Macaca fascicularis: one gene and its partners. The protein of the gene in region 1 interacts with the protein of each later gene in a biochemical or structural test. Links are inferred from orthologs where the notes say so. Each region holds a gene or a part of one and is shown in the gene's direction. Other genes may lie near its edges.

What was found.
Region 2: the proteins of SPI1 (region 1) and IRF4 are reported together in a solved structure, tested with the Homo sapiens proteins (2 studies listed by BioGRID, with this or other methods). The link is inferred for Macaca fascicularis from reciprocal best matches to the Homo sapiens genes SPI1 and IRF4.
Region 3: the proteins of SPI1 (region 1) and IRF1 form a complex in vitro, tested with the Homo sapiens proteins (2 studies listed by BioGRID). The link is inferred for Macaca fascicularis from reciprocal best matches to the Homo sapiens genes SPI1 and IRF1.

The regions. Positions count from the first base shown.
Region 1 is NC_088388.1:18,487,538-18,491,183, forward strand, and holds part of SPI1 (transcription factor PU.1), read left to right. Parts: intron 1-114; coding exon 115-302; intron 303-1,128; coding exon 1,129-1,291; intron 1,292-3,646. UniProt on the Homo sapiens protein: Pioneer transcription factor, which controls hematopoietic cell fate by decompacting stem cell heterochromatin and allowing other transcription factors to enter otherwise inaccessible genomic sites.
Region 2 is NC_088378.1:172,678,511-172,681,944, reverse strand, and holds the end of IRF4 (interferon regulatory factor 4), read left to right. Parts: intron 1-1,636; coding exon 1,637-1,780; 3' UTR 1,781-2,802; downstream 2,803-3,434. UniProt on the Homo sapiens protein: Transcriptional activator. Binds to the interferon-stimulated response element (ISRE) of the MHC class I promoter. Binds the immunoglobulin lambda light chain enhancer, together with PU.1.
Region 3 is NC_088380.1:139,015,184-139,019,351, reverse strand, and holds the start of IRF1 (interferon regulatory factor 1), read left to right. Parts: upstream 1-1,284; 5' UTR 1,285-1,535; intron 1,536-2,569; 5' UTR 2,570-2,574; coding exon 2,575-2,661; intron 2,662-4,025; coding exon 4,026-4,125; intron 4,126-4,168. UniProt on the Homo sapiens protein: Transcriptional regulator which displays a remarkable functional diversity in the regulation of cellular responses.

The DNA.
Region 1 (3,646 bases):
AAATGAGATGGTTAGGCCCCATATGGCCTGGCAGTATTATTTAATGTTATTACAACCTTTTCCTGCCCTGCCCAACCCTGAGCTCACCCCACACTGCCTGGCTGTCCCCCACAGACCATTACTGGGACTTCCACCCCCACCACGTGCACAGCGAGTTCGAGAGCTTCGCCGAGAACAACTTCACGGAGCTCCAGAGTGTGCAGCCCCCGCAGCTGCAGCAGCTCTACCGCCACATGGAGCTGGAGCAGATGCATGTCCTCGACACTCCCATGGTGCCACCCCATCCCAGTCTTGGCCACCAGGTGCGTGCCACCGCCTGCCCCGTCCCCCAGGAGACTGCCAGGCCTGTGGTGGGGCCCGGGAGCTTCACAGGAAGCTGACACAGGCTCTTACCCAACTCGGCTTCCTGCCCCACAGCGCCAACGGCGGCTGGAGCCCTAACGGCTGCTGCCTGACCCCCCGAGTGACCTCGTGACCCCACACCCCTTATCTCATCTCACCCCGAGTATGGACAGACCCCAGATAATTCTTGCACCTCACCGAGCCTCCCCACCCCAACGCCTTGTTGTGAGCCCTCGTGGGCCTCACTGTCTTCCACCCCCATTCACTTGCCCTCATGGATCCCACACCAAGTCACTGAACATGTCTACTGACCCTGCCTCTCCCCAGTGACCCTCCCTACTGACCTTAATCTGAATCAGTGACCTCTGCTGACCTCTACCACCCCTACTGGCCTCCAGGGTCCCCCCACCACTCATCACCCCACCTATCAAACCCCCTTCCAGACCCAATGCACCAGCCCCCAGCACCAGCCCACTGTGGGCCCACATAACACCTCAGCAGGGAGGGGAGCAAGCCACCGCTTCCCCGGTGCCCACAGCCCTAAACCAGGAGGCCCAGCTGGGAGGGCTGGGTGGGCTGGATGTCAGCACCCCTCGCCCCACAGCCTGCACCCTATGTGCAGCGCCTCAACTGGCCCCACTTTTCCCTGGCCTTCCTCCAGTCTCCTGTGCCTGCCATTGTCCCCTGCCTTCTGCACTCCTTCTCTCCCCAGCTAACCTCCCTCCCAGCCCCTCTGAGCTGTAAGCTGGCCCTTCCTGACTCTGATCTCCTTCCCCCACCGTCCAGGTCTCCTACCTGCCCCGGATGTGCCTCCAGTACCCACCCCTGTCCCCAGCCCAGCCCAGCTCAGATGAGGAGGAGGGCGAGCGGCAGAGCCCCCCACTGGAGGTGTCTGACGGCGAGGCGGACGGCCTGGAGCCTGGGCCTGGGCTCCTGCCTGGGGAGACAGGTGGGGCATCTGGCCCTCCACCCTGGCCCCAACCCTGGCTGTGTCTGTGCCCTCCCCCACCCAGCCAGGCCAACTGACCCAGCAGCCATGCCGCCAAGTTGCGTGTGTGTGTGTGCATGTTTGCCAATGTATGTGTTTTGTGGGGCTGTCTGTGGCCGTCTCTATGTGTGTGTGTGTGTGTGTGTATCTGCTGTGAGTGCATACAGGCATCTCCATGAAGTGTGCCAGGTGTGTATGTCTCTGTGCCATGAGTGTGTGTAGATCTGGGTGTGTGTGAGCAAGTGTGCAGAGTGAGTGTGTGTGAACAGATGTAGGCAGGTGCATGTGTGCAAGTGGCTGAGTGGGTGTGTGAGAAGGTGAATGTGAGAGCTGGTGTGGATGAGAGTGGGTGTGGCCATGTTTGTGTGTATCAGCATATGAATGTATTTCAGTGTGTGTGAGTGGTTGTGTGCACGTGTGTGAGGTGTGCATGTATGATCATGTCAGTGGGTGTCAGCAGTGTGTGGGTATGCGTGTGTGAGCAGGGATGTGAGCATGGTATATGTGAGTGGGTGTGAGCAGGCGTGAGTGATATGTGTGAGTGGGGGTATGACAGGTGTGTGAGCAAGTGTGTGTGTGAATGTGTATATAAGCAGGGATGTGTGTGATATAAGTGAGTGTGTGAATGGGCATGAGTGTGTAGGTGTCAGTGGATGTGTGAGTGGATGTGAACATGTTTGAGGGTGTATGTAAGCAGGTGTGTGTGAGCAGGAAGGTGTGAGCTGGGGTGTGTGAGTATGTATGTGTATATGTGAGCAGGTTTGTGCATGTACGTGAGTGGATATGTGTTTTAGCATGTGTGAGCATGTGTGTGTTCTTGTGCGTGAGCAGGTGTATGTGGGGGGTGAGGGCATGCTTGAGCACCTGGGTGTGTGAGTGGGTGTGCATGTGAGTAGGTGTGCGAACGTGTGTGTGTGAGACAGAAGATATATGAATGAGTGTGTGAGAATGGGTGTGAGTGGGCTGGGCATGGTGGCTCATGCCTGTAATCCCAGCACTTTGGGAGGCTGAGGCAGGCGGATCACCTGAAGTCAGGTGTTTGAGACCAGCCTGGCCAACATGGCGAAACCCTGTCTCTACTAAAAAAACCGAACATTAGCTGGGCGTGGTGGTGAATGCCTGTAATCCCAGCTACTTGGGAGGCTGAGACAGGAGAATTGCTTGAACCCGGGAGGCGGAGGTTGCAGTGAGCCAAAATCATGCCATTGCACTCCAGCCTAGGCAATAAGAGCAAAACTCAGTCTCAAAAACAAGAGAATGGGTGTGAGCAGATGTGACATGTGAGCTTGTGAGCAGGTGTGTGAGCTGCTGAGTGGGTGTGAGAGCAGAATGTGTGTGAGCATGAGTGTGCAAGTGGGTGTCTGGTTGTGTGTGAACAGGTGTGTAAGCATGCAAGTGGGTATGAGTAGAATGTGTGTGCATGCGTGAGCAGGTGTGAGTGAGGTGCAAGTAAGTGGTGTGAAATATGAGTGAGCAGGTGTCAATGAGGTGTGAATGAGCTGGTGTGAGCATTGTGAGTGCATGTGTGAGCAACTGTGAGGTGTGAGCAAGCCTGTGAGCAGGAATGTGTGAGGTGTGGGCATATAAGGTGTGAGCATGTGTGTGTGGGTATGTGTGGGCTGGTGTGTGAGTGGGTGTGATTGAGAGATGTGACCATGTGTGTGAGGTGTGATTATGTGTGAGGTGTGAGCATGTGAGTGGGTGTGAATGTGTGACGTGTAAGCATGAGTGGGTGTGTGTGAGGTGTGAGCATGTATGAGGTGTGAGCATGTCTGTGAGCATGAGCGTGTGAGCATGTGTGTGTGAGAGACGTAGTGTGAGGTATGAGTGTGAGTTGTATGAACAGGTGAGCATGTGAGCAAGTGTGAGTGGGTGTGTGTGAGTGAATGGTGTGAGGTGTGTGTGAGCATAAGTGTGTGAGCAGGGGCATGTGTGTGGGTGAGTAATGTGATGTGTGTGAGGTCTGTGTGTGCAAATATGTGTGTGAGCAGGTGTGGGCAGGTGTGACCATGTGTGAGTGGGTAGGTGTGTGTGTGAATGGTGTGAGGTATGTAAGCATGCGTGTGCTGAGCAGAGGCTTGTGTGTGTGAGGGTTAGCAATGTGAGGTGTGAGGGTGAGCAATGTGAGATGTGTAAGCAGGTGTGTGTTTGTGCAAGCATATATAAACAGGTGTGATTATGAGACCTGGTGTGAGGTGTATGAGCAGGCGTGTGAGCACATGAGTGTGTGAGACCTGGTGTGAGGTGTATGTGTGAGTGGGTGTGACTGGGCATGTGTATAAGTGTGAGAAGATGCATTGTGTGGGTGTGACCGTG
Region 2 (3,434 bases), on another chromosome or scaffold:
GAAGCATTAATTTGCCACGGAAAACAGAATCTTGAACCCTTAAGACTTTTGAATTTGAAAACTTCACATTGCTATGTACTTGCAAGCATCATTAATGGGCTTGCATGGTGAGCAATACCAGGTAAAACTTACACCCCTAACATCAAAATTCCCATCATATTGTAGCTCTGATGCTGTTTCTCATTGAGAACTGAAATGAAACATGGTTTAATCTTGAACATACAACCCCCCTTCTTGATTTTAAAAACAAAGACCAACCCACCAACCAATGTGTAATCCCATAGACTGAGGATTTCTCATGAGTTCTCTCCAGTGATTGACTTAACAATTGCTATGATTGTTGAAATCATAACTGATATGTTGTTAACAGCAGGAATTGCTAAATGACTAAATAAACTTGGCATAGATAAGCAGCATTTAAGAAGTTGATGATCGGCCAGGTGCGGTGGCTCACGCCTGTAATCCCAGCACTTTGGGAGGCCCACGTGGGCGGATCACGCGGTCAGGAATTTGAGACCAGCCTGACCAACATGGTGAAACCCCCCCTCTACTAAAAATACAAAAATTAGCCAGGTGTGGTGGTGCGCACCTGTAATCCCAGCTACTCAGGAGGCTGAAGCAAGAGAATCACTTGAACCCAGGAGTCAGAGGTTGCAGTGAGCCGAGATCGCACCACTGCACTCCAGCCTGGGCGACAGAGTGAGGCTCTGTCTCAAGAAAAAAAAAAAAAAAAGAAAACAAAAGAAATTGATGATCAGCTCAGCTATACATCAATCCAATTTTAAGGGTGACTTGGATGAAGTTGCCGTCCTCTAAGTCAGGGAAAGATGGATCCCCAGATGATCCCGTCATCCTGAAGACGAGGCTGTGTGATCCGTAAAATGAATAAACACACATGTACACCTATGAGTTCCACTTTTAAAAGTTATTAATTTAATTCATTTCAGGTACTCAGGAGTTTTGCTTAAGTCGCTATATATAAAATATAGACTTTAATATCGTGATTGATGGAGAGCATTCAGCTTGCCTTAGATGCTGTAAATTCAGGAAAAGCTGAACGTTAAGGTGTTTTTGTTTTTTGGTGAGCGTGATTCATGCTAATAACCAGACGGGATAAATTTGAGGCCAGTTAACTTCTCTTTTTCCACAAGAGTAGTTTTGTTGTTGTTTAACTTTACTTTTTATTTCTTTTACCTCTGGTTTAGAACGATACCGATTACCTAGAAATCAAATCATTCAGGATGAGCCCTTGTTTCTTTCAAACTGCAGTTGTGGAAAAACAAAATCATTGGCCTAAATTACCCTGCAGATTACCTCAGACTTCCTTTTCATTTAATCACTTTACTTGATTTGATTCAGTTTTAGTTAAATGTACATTTTAAGTGGCAGCTGATTTAAAAGTAACATCTTTAACCCAGAATTAAGTAGCTTTGACTGTTTTTTTACATGTTGATCTATGGAAGGACTAACAAAAAAATTGCTTCTTTAGATGGCTCCATATATGAAATGTTTTGACGTGTTCTAGGACGTAACTTTGGGCTTTACGTTACTGTCTGCTTAGAATCTGAGTGCTGTTTAATAGTGAGCCAGTTGCGGGATATCTCAGTAATGTCTTTTTAAAAATCTCTTATTAAAGGTAGAACCTCTGCTCGCCAGACAATTATATTATTTTGCTCAACAAAACAGTGGACATTTCCTGAGGGGCTACGATTTACCGGAACACATCAGCAATCCAGAAGATTACCACAGATCTATCCGCCATTCCTCCATTCAAGAATGAAAAATGTCAAGATGAGTGGTTTTCTTTTTCCTTTTTTTTTTTTCTATTTTTATTTTTTATTTTATTTTTTTGATACAGGGTCTTGCACTGTCTCCCAGGCCGGAGTGCAGTGACACGATCTCAGCTCACTGCGACCTCCGCCTCCCAGGTTCAAGAGATTCTCCTGCCTCAGCCTCCCTGGTAGCTGGGATTAAGGTGTGAGCCACTGCACCCACCCAACACAGACGATTTTCATTGTAAATATTTGACTTTAGTGAAAGCATCCAGTTGACTGCCCTCTTGCTGTTTTGAGGAACTCAGAAGTGAAGATTTCAGTGCAGTAGCTGAGGAGAATTGCCGCCAGACAACTGTGGAAAATCAGTGACATCTGATTGGCAGATGAGCTTATTCCGAAAGGAAGGTGGCTTTGCACTTCTTGCGCTCTGTAGACTGCCATCATTGATGATCACTGTGAAAACTGACCCCGTGATGTGTTTACATTTGCTGAAATGTGTTCTTTAATTTGGTGTAGACTAGGTCTTGCTGGAGGACTGAGAACACTTGCCTTTCAGTGTTGACACTGACTGGAGCGATGACTGCAGGCGAGTCTGTACCATTTCTCAGGGAAGTAAGGTGTAAACGGAAGAAGCCTCACACATAGAAGAAATGTATTAATGTATGTAGGAGCTGCAGTTCTTGTGGAGGACACTTGCGGAGTGAAGGAAATGGAATCTTTGACTGAAGTTGTGCCTGTAGCCTGGGGGAGGCCCCTTCCCCACCTGCCAGTGGTTTCCTGGTGTGGGCCCCTCTGCCCCGCCTTCCTTCCCACGGGCTTCTCTCCTTGGCCTTCCCTGGAAGTCAGTTAGTAAACTTACTAATTTCTTGTGCCAAAAAACAGGATAGTTCCTCTTGGATGGGACATTTTTGTCTGTCCTACCATCGAGTAATGTCTAAGTGACGGTTAAGTTTTCTTGTTTCTATGTCTTTTTGTCCCTCATTCTCTAGAAATGTTAAATTCTTCTCATAAAGAAGAAGTTAAGGAGCATTTATCTTACTACCTGAACTGTTGCCCTTCTGTCCAAGTACTAAGCTGTCTGTTCCCCTCCTCTGTGCCACTCTCGTCTGTCTGTTTGACTGTGCACTGATCAGCCACGGTGACACTAAAGGAGGAGGAGCCGGGACGCGCAGGCTGGCGAGCACTGCCAGGAGCGGCCGCTGGAAGCAGGATGGAGCTGGCTGCGGAGCTGCACACCCAGTGGGCTGTTTCTGCTTCTTTCATCTGTTCTGTGCTTCCTCAGGCCAATTATAGTTTGACAGGGTCTTAAAATTACTTGGCTTTTTACAAATGCATCTATTTATAGAATCCCAAAGACCTCCACTTGCTTAAGCCAACCTGAAAAAAGGAAAACATTTTTGTGGTTTCGAGAAAGTACAGGGGTGTAGATGGGGGCGTCTCCCCCAGGGTGTTTCTCGTGCTGCAGGATATTTCCTATCACTCTCAGGGTCCGCAGACTGTGTAGCTCTCAGAAGTGCGGTCCTGCTTTTCTAATCCATATTTTAAATGGATTCAACAAGCGCATAATAGGTGCCTGCTGGCCAGGCGCGGTGGCTCAAGCCTGTAATCCCAGCACTTTGGGAGGCCGAGACCGGCGGATCACAAGGTCAGGAGATCGAG
Region 3 (4,168 bases), on another chromosome or scaffold:
TGAAGGAAGAAGCCTCCTGGGCCAGAGTTTTGGATGGAAAATGAACACCCAGTCAAGTCTCTAGGACTATAAGTGGGGCGGGGACTAGTTGTGAGCGCGAGTTAAGTAGGGGCCCTTACCAAGGAACATAGGACCTGGGTTCCCCAACCCTTTCGCTAGGTCCATGGCGTTGATCAGCCCTGAGCTAATTCCTCCATGCTGCCCAGAACCTCTCTGGGCCAAGCCCTGGGGACTCAGAGATGACAGCAATACTTCCATTGAGGAACTCCCATACGCGGGCCACAGGGAGGCTCTGGAGGCGGCCTGTGTATTAGGAGGGATCAGAACTACCCCACCCCCACCCTCACTCAGCCATCTGGGCTTCTCTGAACCCCTTCTCCTCCTCTGTTCCCTAAGGCCAGCCAGGGGGAGTCCCAGGGAGGCAGACCAAAAAGGGGTGGGGTGTCATCCTGGTCACTATTAGACCCTGGAACGGCGACCTTGAAAACTACTCAGCGTCTGTTGCCCGAGTGGAGCATAGTGCTTTACAATCACAGCAAACCATCAAGGTAGGGCTACTGTTATTTTATGGTTGAAAAACGGAGGTCCTGAGTCCCTTGGGGGCTGTGCCAGCAGCGGCCAAGTTGAGATTTCCCCTGGTTCAGCAGCCCCAGACAGCACACGGTGCAGGGTAGGCTTTCTGCTTCCTTCACTTCCCCAGGGCAGGTGAGTGACCTGGAGAAAGGGGGTCACCCCTAAAAACAGGGGTAGTGCTAGGACTGAAACTCTCCCTTCTTGATACCCCACTGGCAAGCTTGAGGAGCCAGGTTGCCAGTCGGGAGATTCGGCCGGTGTTCCCCCTGGAGAGGGCGGCAAGTGCCCGGGCGATCCCCTCACCTGCGTTCAGGAGATAGACCCCCGCCCCCAACCCGCCAGGAGGGTGAAAAGATGGCCCCAGGAGCCAGCCGGCTGGGAGAAGGCGGAGTGAGAGGAGAGGCTGGGGCCGGGGGTGCCGGGCTGTCCAGGGCAGCCCTCCTCCGGGCGAGCCGGAGCAGGGGTGGATGGGGAGCGCGCGGGGCGGGCCCGTGGTGGCCCCGGGGCGGTGGCGCCCGGCCGGAGAGGGTGGGGCGGAGCAGCCGCCCTGTACTTCCCCTTCGCCGCTAGCTCTACAACAGCCTGATTTCCCCGAAATGACGGCACGCAGTCGGCCAATGGGCGCCCGCGCGGCTGTCCGGAGGCGGGGCCGGCCAGGGCTGGGGAATCCCGCTAAGTGTTTGGATTGCTCGGTGGCGCCGCTGCCCTGGCAGAGCTCGCCACTCCTTCGTCGAGGCAGGACGTGCGCCCGAGCCCCGCCGAACCGAGGCCACCCGGAGCCTTGCCCAGCCCACGCCAGCCGTGCCCAGCGGCCTTGAGACCCAGACAGCCTCTGCCTTCTTCCCCCTTCCACCCGGAGTCGCGCTCCGCGCCCCCTCACGGCAGCCCCTGCGTCGCCGGGACCTTCGCGCGCCGCCGCCGGGACCTTCGCGCGCCGCCGCCGAATCGCTCCTGCAGCAAAGGTGAGTCCGCTTTTGCGGCGCGGGGGACCGGCGGCGTCGAATAAAAGGCGCGCGGGGCACCAGGAAGTGGGGGTTCGAAAACCCCAGGTTGGAGACTCGCGGGAGCGCGGCGTTGCCCGGGCCCCCGCGCGGGCTCCGGGGGGCGCCGGAGGAGCTGCGAGCCGCGGCGCGGGGAGGGCGGGCCGCGGCGTGGACCGCCCACCCGGACGAGGCTGCCGGCGCCGGGCAGCTTTCGCAGATATGCGTGCGCGCAGCCGCTGGGGGCCTGTAGGTGGCCCGCTACGTTCGTCCCGCGCATCCACACGCCGTGCCGGGGACCGAGTGTCCGCCCACGCGTGGGCGCCCAGTGCTCCCGGCTTTCGGCGGTCCCAGCTTCGCGCCCAGGCCCCAGGTTTTGGGCTCCCTGTGCTGGTGACAAGGGCTGGCTTACTGCCCAGGTGGCTGGAGGGAATCGTGACCTACGGAGACTGCGGGAAGAGGCGCCACAGGTGTTCCTTGGGCCGCTTCTCCAGAGGAGGGGAAACCGGGCCGGAAGGGTTAGCGTCCTAGTCTTAGCGTAGTGGGCTCTGTGACTGTCAGGAGGGCGTAGAATGGATTCAGGGGGGCTGTTCAGGGTGATGGCTAGCCCTTTACTAGCTAGTGGTGACAACTCAAGTCAAGGGAATTTCTTCTTGGCATCAAGCAAAAGAAGTCCCTCCCTTCCCAAAGGATTTGAATTTTGAGCGAAAAGTTCTGAAATTAGGATATCTGTGCATTTTCTCTCTTTTCCTGCACATGAATCCTAAAGCCATCACTTGCATGCCTGTCTCATCCAGAGACTGGCTGGGATGGAGGAAGGGGCAGAAGCATTTTTGCCTAAGATGCTGAAAAAACTTGGAGAGCAGTTTTATTCCAGGGCAGCTCCCCTCCCCACTGAGTGTAGTACCTAGTAGCTGGCTGAGGGGAGGGTAACTAAGTGAACTCGGGTGGGGCAGGTCAGTGCCCAGGTACTGTTCAACAGATTCCAGACTGGAGCCTCTGTCTTCTCTTTACAGCCAACATGCCCATCACTCGGATGCGCATGAGACCCTGGCTAGAGATGCAGATTAATTCCAACCAAATCCCGGGGCTCATCTGGATTAATAAAGTGAGTGTAACTCTTTGGGTTTTCCTGCCACTGTTTTAACCCATGTACTTCTGGAGGGACCAAAGCTTCAGATGCAGCTCAAAAAGGGAAGTGATAACAGGACAGGCAGATGTTTCTCCCAATGGGTCCTGCATGCAGGGAGGGAGTGTGCAAGGCCCAGCCTGGGCCTCACTTGCACGACTCCTGCTTTCTTCCCTTCTTGAGGTAGGGCACCCACCTGAAGGCACTTCCAGTTTCCAGCAGCAAGACTTTCCCAGCATCTGCAGAGCTGGAGTTCTGGTCTCCTCTGAGGGAGACCCTTACAAACATACACAGCACCTTGCAGGGCTCTAATCAAACAAATAGAAGACTTGAGAAGTGGATGCTGCTGGGCAGAAAGGTGGCTGGCTTAGCAGAGGACAAACGAATCAATCTTGCACCAGTCACTGTGGCCCAAGAAGCCTATAGCTGGTGCACTTGGGGCAACATAGACACTATAGGCTTAGTAGCAATGATAGTATTCATAATAATAGCTAATGCTTACTGAACACTCTCTGTGTGCCTGGCACCTGCTACGTATGTTATTTACATTGTGTCATTTAATCCTCGCAGTAGTCCTGTGGGGTAGGTCCTGTTCATGTCATCATTTTCAGATAAGTAAACAGAGGCACTGAGAGGAAGATTGTAAGATCACACAAAAAGTGATGAAGCCAAGATTTGAACTTGAATGGTCTGACTCAGAAATCTTTACTGTTAACCATCAGTGATAATAACAGTAAGACCTTAGACTTCATATTTGTCACTGTGTCCCTACACATTCTCTGGTTTTTAATTCTCAAAATTTTGTTGGATATGTTTTCTCATTTCAGAGAAGAGAAAACTGAGGGGAAAAGAGATACAGTGACAATGCCAGGGTTACACAGTGTTCACCATCCAAGTCTAGCTCCCTCAGTCGTATGACCAGGACCTCTTGTGTAGAAGCCCATGGTCCCAGGTGTCCTGAGGAGTCCTTTCTAATGGAAGAAGTTCTTACTTCCATGTTGGTGTTTACAAGCCAGAGAGAAACATCCCAGAGCTTCAAAATCAGGGCTTTGGGGGAGGGTGCCCTGTGTGGGTCCTAGCACATGTGTAACAGGCAGAGGGAGGTCTTTGTGAGCTAATAGTGCTGCAGCTCATCCGAACTAGGAGTCCCTCCTGAGAGATCCCGAGTGGTCTGTTTAAGCCAGCCTAAAGATGGGTCAGTCCAAGCCAGATGGCAGGGGGAAAAGGGGAAGTCAGCCTTTTCTCAGACCTGTCTGGCTGGGCAAGCCTGGGTCTCAGACTCAGCCCCAAAGTCTGTGGCCTCTGAGCTGACACAGCCTCGTGTATATGTGTGTGTTGTTCAGGAGGAGATGATCTTCCAGATCCCATGGAAGCATGCTGCCAAGCATGGCTGGGACATCAACAAGGATGCCTGTTTGTTCCGGAGCTGGGCCATTCACACAGGTGTGTGCCTGGGACTCAGGCCTAGGAAGGCCAGGGTAGAGAC